2 linked regions of the Saccharomyces cerevisiae S288C genome follow. The protein of the gene in region 1 purifies or fractionates together with the protein of each later gene. This does not show direct contact. Each region holds a gene or a part of one and is shown in the gene's direction. Other genes may lie near its edges.

Region 1 (5,263 bases):
TGCTGAGACATTTGAAAAGCCATGAAAGGAAAAGAAACAAAGTCTTAAACACTACATAGAAACAATAGGAACGGAAAGCTTTATTGCAATGGAATTTTTAGAACTCATATTCAAAGGTAAGGCAAAACTATGTATAGACTCTAATAGAATGTTTTACGGACTTTAGAAGCAAGGGAATAAAACTAATTAAGCGCAAGTCACCTTCTTTGTTAGTGTTCTTCCCAGTTTTATATAACGGGAGTGCGTCTTCAAGTTTACTTGGACGCACAAAGACGTTTTTATGTTTATGTATTATTTCGTAAATATATGAGAGGCAAAGAAGATGGATGATGATATAATATGCAAGGGAAAATGCGTAGTTGAGGTATTGGGAAAGTTCCATGTGATCACTTGATGCAAGCCGTGCATTATTTATCAGCAGATCTATTTTCACTTTTCAATTTTTTTCAGGTTGACCCTTCAATATTTTTTTACCTCTTTTTCTAGATATATTTGCAGGGTACTCTCGATGTCCGCAGTTCGTCAAAATGATTATGATTGCCAGTAAGGCCAAGTGAATTTAACAAAGGTGAGGGAAGTATACCAAGTTGCTCGTTTCCTTGTTTCATAGTATTGACTTTCAAATTTTTTAATCGTTATTTCGCTAACATGGCAGAAGTACTGACCGTCCTCGAGCAGCCGAACTCAATTAAAGATTTTCTCAAGCAGGATTCAAATATTGCGTTTCTAGCTGGTGGAGTAGCTGGCGCGGTTTCCCGAACCGTTGTTTCACCTTTTGAGAGAGTTAAAATACTGCTGCAAGTTCAAAGTTCAACCACTTCTTATAACCGAGGTATCTTTAGCTCTATACGGCAGGTTTACCATGAGGAGGGAACCAAAGGTTTATTCAGAGGAAATGGTTTGAACTGCATAAGAATTTTTCCCTATAGTGCAGTCCAGTTTGTAGTATACGAAGCTTGTAAGAAAAAGTTATTCCATGTAAATGGCAATAATGGACAAGAACAACTAACGAACACCCAAAGACTATTCAGTGGTGCATTGTGTGGTGGTTGTAGTGTGGTGGCTACTTACCCGTTGGACTTGATCAAAACAAGACTATCGATTCAGACAGCAAATTTGAGCAGTTTAAACCGCTCAAAGGCAAAAAGTATATCAAAGCCTCCGGGGATCTGGCAATTACTAAGCGAAACTTACAGACTCGAAGGCGGTCTCAGGGGATTATATAGGGGTGTATGGCCAACGAGTCTTGGTGTTGTTCCATATGTAGCACTAAACTTTGCAGTTTACGAACAATTGAGAGAATTCGGTGTCAATTCCTCCGATGCTCAGCCTTCCTGGAAAAGTAACCTCTATAAATTAACAATTGGCGCCATAAGTGGAGGGGTTGCGCAAACAATCACTTATCCCTTTGATCTGCTAAGAAGAAGATTTCAAGTTCTCGCAATGGGCGGAAATGAACTGGGATTTAGATACACGAGTGTCTGGGATGCGCTCGTGACAATCGGCAGAGCAGAAGGCGTTAGCGGTTACTACAAAGGCTTAGCTGCAAACCTTTTTAAAGTTGTTCCTTCAACTGCAGTGAGTTGGCTAGTTTACGAAGTTGTATGTGATTCTGTAAGAAATTGGTGAGCTTGAGGTGACAGGCTTGGGTCAGCGAAAACCAAGTAATGACGCGATCCCTCCGCTGAAGAACGACATCCTGTATATAGCATTAACTTGTCTATTTTTCTTTATATCGGTCTTGCAGTATGGGCCAATCATATCGTACAAAGCGGGGGATTTCCCGTACTTTATGATGAGCATGAGAACAGACTTTAAAGGCATCGCCATCTCCTCAAAAGCAACTATAACTCTTCCCATACCAGTATAAGCTAACTTTGTTTTGAGACTTATTTAATTTTGGTAGTTTCCTGAACGACTTCTGACAATACTTTAAAAAAAGAAAAATATAGAAAAATGAGACCAGCACAGTTACTGTTGAATACAGCTGTATGTTAAGGGATATTTTCTTTTTATTGTGACAAACGGATAATCATGCGTTCATTCTGACTTGATGCTTTCTAAGAAAACAATTATGTTGATTATGAATGCTAACTACAAGATTATAGAGTATTATACTAACAAAAAACTAGAAAAAAACATCTGGTGGCTACAAAATACCCGTCGAATTAACACCGTTATTTCTCGCTGTTGGTGTAGCTTTATGCTCTGGGACATACTTCACATATAAGAAATTAAGAACTGACGAGACTTTGAGATTGACAGGTAACCCAGAATTATCTAGTTTAGATGAAGTCCTTGCCAAAGATAAGGATTAAAAACCATGTTGATGATTTGTTATATTAATATCTACACTTAAAACATTTTCAATAATTGTCGGGAACAAATCGAAATATTATTTATTCTTCAAATATGACAAAACTAATGTATATTATATACATGTCAACACCACCATGACTATATGTTTAATTGATGTATAATCATTCCATTTTTACACGTGCTCTTTCTTGGCAGCGGTTAAGGGAACCTGATGATAGACCATGCAATAAAAAAGAAAGCCCTGTAGGGGGCTCGAACCCCTAACCTTATGATTAAGAGTCATACGCGCTACCGATTGCGCCAACAAGGCTCTTTTGTTGAAATAAAAAACCGAAACATCTTTATCTAACGAATATTTGGAAGGTGAACCTAACGATAAAATACTACACTATTCATATTGACTGACTGTATCAACGACGTTTAACAGCGATTATCTGCTTATCTCAATATGTGGTTAGCGATTACTTGTTCAAGTCGTTGCTTTACGTTTCTTTTGCAGTTTGATTGTTGCCTTCTCGAGGACAAATCAGTTTCAATGACGATAGAGGTTAGCAAAATTACTATATTAGTGAATTAGTAACGGAGACAAAAAGATTTGTTTAACGGCTTCTTTGTAGTCATCCTGCTGTTGTTTTTGTATGTTTAAGCTTCTTCCTCCGATTAAGTTTTGTACATTTACTTCTGTAAGTTAAAGGGCTCTTTTCTCATTATATTTCAAATGCTAAATCATGCCATGAAAACTTCAAAAAAGCATCAAATGAAGGAAGACGCTGATGACATCGAGTGATGAAATTATTCATAAATCTGCATCAGAGTGTTATATCTACAGAAGCAGACATGCTACAAGAGTTCAAAGCACTTAATGGCATTTCTAATAGATTCTCAGCGCCCTTTTGAGTCTCTGCACTACCACTTAATTATCATACCGCAGAAGCGGCCTCTCGGCCTCCCTTCATGCTATAATCGCTAATGACGGAAATTATTATTGAGATTACTCTTGCGAGTGTTTTTTTTTTTTTTTTTTTTTTTTTTTCGTATGAAAAATTTTTCAAGCGCATCTTAGAGACTCATCTCATCTCTTAATTATTCAAACTTACTTCAGCTGTCTCGTAATATTCAAGCAAGTCTTCCTCAAGAATATTGACAAATAAACGTAGAATTACGCATTTGGTGAGATGAGCAAAGTGATTAAGCCGCCTGGCCAAGCCAGAACTGCTGATTTCCGTACCTTAGAACGTGAATCTAGGTTCATCAATCCACCTAAGGATAAATCAGCATTTCCACTATTACAGGAAGCTGTTCAACCTCATATTGGGTCTTTTAACGCATTAACAGAAGGTCCGGATGGAGGTTTGTTAAATCTTGGTGTTAAAGACATCGGTGAAAAAGTTATATTTGATGGAAAACCACTCAATTCTGAAGACGAAATATCCAACAGCGGATACCTCGGGAATAAGCTTTCTGTTAGTGTGGAACAAGTGTCTATTGCGAAGCCAATGTCTAACGATGGTGTTTCTTCTGCAGTAGAGAGAAAAGTTTACCCAAGTGAGTCAAGACAAAGGCTTACTTCTTACAGAGGTAAATTACTTTTAAAGTTGAAGTGGTCCGTGAACAATGGCGAGGAGAACTTATTTGAAGTAAGAGATTGTGGTGGTCTACCAGTTATGCTACAGAGTAACAGATGTCACTTGAACAAGATGTCACCATATGAACTGGTACAACACAAGGAAGAATCCGATGAAATAGGTGGTTATTTCATTGTTAACGGTATAGAAAAGCTTATTAGAATGCTGATTGTGCAACGTAGAAATCATCCTATGGCTATCATCAGACCTTCCTTCGCTAACAGGGGTGCATCCTATTCTCATTACGGTATTCAAATTAGATCTGTCAGGCCGGATCAAACTTCCCAAACTAATGTTTTGCATTACTTAAATGACGGTCAAGTTACATTTAGATTTTCTTGGAGAAAAAATGAATATTTAGTTCCTGTTGTTATGATTTTAAAAGCCTTGTGTCATACCAGCGATAGGGAAATTTTTGATGGTATTATTGGTAATGACGTTAAGGATTCCTTTTTGACCGATCGTTTAGAATTACTGTTACGTGGTTTTAAGAAAAGATATCCTCATTTACAAAATCGCACACAAGTCTTGCAATATTTAGGAGACAAATTTCGTGTTGTCTTTCAAGCTTCCCCTGATCAATCTGATTTAGAAGTCGGACAAGAAGTCCTTGATCGCATCGTTCTCGTGCATTTGGGTAAGGATGGCAGCCAGGATAAATTCAGAATGTTATTGTTCATGATCAGAAAGTTGTATTCCTTGGTTGCAGGCGAATGTTCTCCAGATAACCCAGATGCTACGCAACATCAAGAAGTTCTTTTGGGTGGTTTCTTATATGGTATGATCCTAAAAGAAAAGATTGATGAGTACTTACAGAATATTATTGCTCAAGTCAGGATGGATATTAACCGTGGTATGGCCATTAATTTCAAAGACAAAAGGTACATGTCAAGAGTTTTAATGAGGGTTAATGAAAACATTGGTTCCAAAATGCAATACTTTTTATCAACTGGTAACCTGGTGTCCCAGTCTGGGTTAGATTTACAACAAGTTTCTGGTTATACTGTGGTTGCAGAAAAAATTAACTTCTACCGTTTTATCTCTCATTTTAGAATGGTTCATAGAGGCTCCTTTTTTGCGCAATTGAAAACTACCACAGTCAGAAAGTTGCTACCTGAGTCGTGGGGATTCCTGTGCCCTGTTCATACACCAGATGGTTCTCCTTGTGGTTTATTAAACCATTTTGCGCACAAGTGTCGTATATCAACTCAGCAATCTGACGTCTCAAGAATTCCTTCTATATTATACTCACTTGGTGTTGCTCCGGCATCTCACACCTTTGCTGCTGGTCCTTCTCTGTGTTGTGTTCAAATTGATGG
Region 2 (4,116 bases), on another chromosome or scaffold:
AGCATTTACTTTACTTCAACCAGTATTGTCTAAAGAGAACGAGTTTAGTATTAGTAAAAAAATTAAAAAAAGGAAGCGTACTTGAAACTCAAACACAAACGAGAGTACAAAGGGCATTGCTAGCTTAAAATATTTAACAATCAACTTCGTCTTTTGCCAGAAGACTACATTTTGTGCCATCGAGAAGTTAGTCCAGGAGTCAACACATTAATTAAACATGCCCGCTCGAGAATATAACTATGTAGAAGGTTTTGGTGGGTACGGCTCGTTGGACGATGATGATTCAGATAGAGATTCTGAACGCAGGAATCACGATCTAGGGCAGCGAACTATAACCACAAGTCCAACAGGAGTATCAAGACATGCTGCATTAAATAGGTACATGATCCCAGGCCGTATCAATCCTCTTTTCAGACCGACAGACGCTGCTCAACCTCCCATAGTGTCTACATCCACATCAGCATCGGCAACAGAACCGACCAACAGAATAGGCCCTGGAAGGATAAAAGAAACCCCTGAAACAAATTTCAATGCATTTCTTATAGCACAACTAACCAGAATGGAGGAGCAAAATGCCAATCTGAAGGAAGAAATCAGCCTAATGAAAAAGGAACAAGAACTCTTCTTTCTAGAGAATCAAAAGAAGTTGGAGAAAGGATTTAAAGACATCAATAAGTATGTTGAAGATGTTTCCGCAATGAAAGAAGTCTTCAAAGAGGTAGTTGGTATTATGACTGGGGAGAGAATAAGATTTATAGACCATACTGGGGAAAATGTTACTCCTCAGGAAGCTGCTCGTGTTGGAAATCCATCAACAAGTACGCAAGCTCATCAAAGTCAGTCAAGATCAACAAACTGGCAAGAATATAGTATGCACGCAAGCATATTAGCCGGCGATCCTCGTATCAAGCCTGAGCCAGGGCTGTCAGACTTTGAAAATGGGGAATACGATGGTAATGAAAGTGATGAGAACGCTACCACCAGGAACCTACCTTTAAATAACCCCGATTCTGTTAGCAATGCTGATGACAGTAATAACCAACTCGATGGAACAGGAAACGAGAATGATATCAGAAACAGAAGAGGGTGCGTTGGAACGTCATATAAACTAAATCGTGCAATCCAGAACGTTACAGATGCGGCCCGTGAATACTTTGAAGGCTTACCGGGCCAACCGTCAGTTCTTTCCCTTGAGAGGAGATATGGGTCCACTTGGAGGCGATCTGCCAAAGAAAGGACTTTGTTCACTAAAAGAATGACCATCATAAAAAGAATAATAGATATAAAAGATGATCCAAGCAAATATGGTTTGTCGCTACCTGAGAATAAAATAAGTAGAAACCAAGCCATCAAGGTTGTCGAAAATATAAGATTGGGAAACAATACCTTCAAAGGACATCATTGCCGATTATCAATGTCCCAGTTATACGAATACTTCTCCAAAAAAATGGACAAACTCGAAGACTATTCACTTACTCTAAAGAGAAGAGGGAAGCCAAGAAGAATTTTCTTGTTAGAAGAGAGAGAAGCTAGATTATCATTACAGCAGCCACATAGTATACCAAATTCCAGTACAGGCACACCAGAACATGATCAAGACACTTAGAGGAAATGGAACAACGAATTTCCAGCCAAAAATTCCGAGTAGTTCATGATGAAAGATTTTTACATGCATTTTATATATAAATATATACCGTCCTATATGGATTTCATGCCAACAGGGTATATAATAGACAATTACCGGTGTACTGATATATCAACTATCGACTCCAAGCCTTTTATCTATCAGTCAATTTTACATCAAGATCCCACTTTTAGATAGGTTCGAAAATTCAATCTAATATTAGTGATTTAATTAGATGGTGGATTGCTTACCCTTTTTTTTGTCGTTTTAGGAGGAGATTCTTCGGATTTTAGGGATAAACGGATACTCCATATATAAAAAACAAAACTTCAGGCATATTGATTATCTAAAAGGAATATTCTAAAACCATAGCCATAGTAATTTATCACCAACATGTCAAACGACGGCTCAAAAATATTGAATTATACCCCAGTGTCTAAAATAGATGAAATAGTTGAAATCTCAAGAAATTTCTTCTTTGAGAAACAATTGAAATTGTCCCACGAAAATAACCCAAGGAAAAAAGATCTAGAATTCAGGCAGTTGCAGTTGAAAAAACTCTATTATGCCGTCAAAGATCATGAGGAAGAACTGATCGATGCTATGTACAAGGACTTTCATCGGAACAAAATTGAATCGGTTCTGAATGAAACGACCAAACTTATGAACGATATACTTCACCTAATTGAGATTTTACCAAAATTGATCAAACCTCGGAGAGTATCTGATTCTTCTCCTCCATTTATGTTTGGTAAAACAATCGTGGAGAAAATATCAAGGGGCAGTGTCTTGATTATTGCTCCTTTCAATTTTCCCCTACTTTTAGCATTTGCCCCATTGGCAGCAGCTCTTGCTGCAGGTAACACCATTGTTCTGAAGCCAAGTGAACTAACACCACACACTGCTGTAGTTATGGAAAATTTGTTAACCACAGCTGGTTTCCCTGATGGATTGATTCAAGTAGTTCAGGGAGCTATAGATGAAACTACAAGACTACTAGATTGTGGAAAATTTGACCTAATATTCTACACAGGTTCTCCCCGTGTCGGATCAATAGTTGCTGAGAAAGCAGCAAAAAGTCTAACACCTTGTGTACTTGAACTTGGTGGTAAATCACCTACCTTTATTACAGAAAATTTCAAAGCAAGTAACATAAAAATTGCTTTGAAAAGGATTTTTTTTGGTGCTTTCGGAAATTCTGGCCAGATTTGTGTTTCACCAGATTATTTGTTAGTACATAAATCTATCTATCCAAAAGTCATTAAAGAGTGTGAATCAGTACTAAATGAATTTTATCCAAGCTTTGATGAACAAACAGATTTCACTCGTATGATTCATGAGCCTGCTTACAAAAAGGCCGTTGCAAGTATAAACTCAACTAACGGCTCCAAGATTGTGCCTTCAAAAATTTCTATCAATTCAGATACTGAGGATCTATGCCTTGTACCACCAACCATAGTTTATAACATTGGTTGGGATGATCCTTTGATGAAACAGGAAAACTTTGCTCCTGTATTGCCCATCATTGAGTACGAGGATCTTGATGAGACCATTAACAAGATAATAGAAGAACATGACACTCCATTGGTGCAATACATATTCTCTGATAGCCAAACTGAAATAAATCGTATCTTGACGCGCTTAAGATCTGGTGACTGTGTTGTCGGTGATACAGTGATTCATGTAGGAATTACCGACGCTCCATTTGGAGGGATCGGTACTTCAGGTTATGGTAACTATGGTGGATATTATGGATTCAATACCTTTAGTCATGAAAGAACAATTTTTAAACAACCATATTGGAATGATTTTACCCTTTTTATGAGATACCCTCCAAATAGCGCACAAAAGGAAAAGCTCGTCCGTTTTGCGATGGAAAGAAAACCTTGGTTTGACAGAAATGGCAATAACAAGTGGGGGTTACGCCAATATTTTTCATTATCTGCCGCCGTTATTTTAATTAGTACCATTTACGCTCATTGTTCTTCCTGAACGTAATGTTTAAGGTTAATTAATTATTTGATGTATAAGTAACCTTTCGTTTAAAAATTTCATATGGGCGATAATATATCAATATTTATTAATTACAATTTACTCTATTTGCTCGTATAGAGTATATACTCGCTAAATACATTTTGATTACCAATCATCTTCCTCTTCATCTTCGTTAGCCTCCTCGTCATCACTCTCTAATCTCATTTTATTGGCCCTAGCAGCAAGCGCATTCGCCAAACCATCACCCAAACTTGCTTGGGCTGCAGCTGGAATAACGTTTGCAGAGGTGTTATCATGTTGTACAGAATTCAGAACGGGTTTAGGAACATCCCTGTTTTGAGGAGGAGTAGGGATATTATTATTTCCGGAATGTGGTTTCATGTAAGCTGTTGGCACCCAACCTTCCTTAGAGCCATCCAGAAGTTTCCCGAGAGACCAACCGCTTGGTTCTTCTCTTGTAATGTAAATTACGTCTCCTTTCTTTAAAGGTAACTCAG

Evidence for each region.
Region 2: the proteins of MRA1 (region 1) and HFD1 purify together in Saccharomyces cerevisiae (affinity purification with mass spectrometry; 2 studies listed by BioGRID, with this or other methods). This does not show direct contact.

Annotation. Positions count from the first base shown.
Region 1 is NC_001148.4:579,428-584,690, reverse strand, and holds MRA1 (Mra1p), read left to right. Parts: upstream 1-1,956; coding exon 1,957-1,989; intron 1,990-2,132; coding exon 2,133-2,318; downstream 2,319-5,263. Other genes in the region: CMR3 (Cmr3p), read left to right, coding at 1-59; MRX21 (Mrx21p), read left to right, coding at 649-1,629; DNA-directed RNA polymerase I core subunit RPA135, read left to right, coding at 3,495-5,263.
Region 2 is NC_001145.3:489,894-494,009, reverse strand, and holds HFD1 (hexadecenal dehydrogenase), read left to right. Parts: upstream 1-2,017; coding exon 2,018-3,616; downstream 3,617-4,116. Other genes in the region: EUC1 (Euc1p), read left to right, coding at 218-1,606; MYO5 (myosin 5), read right to left, coding at 3,764-4,116. UniProt on the Saccharomyces cerevisiae protein: Catalyzes the oxidation of long-chain aliphatic aldehydes to fatty acids. Responsible for conversion of the sphingosine 1-phosphate (S1P) degradation product hexadecenal to hexadecenoic acid.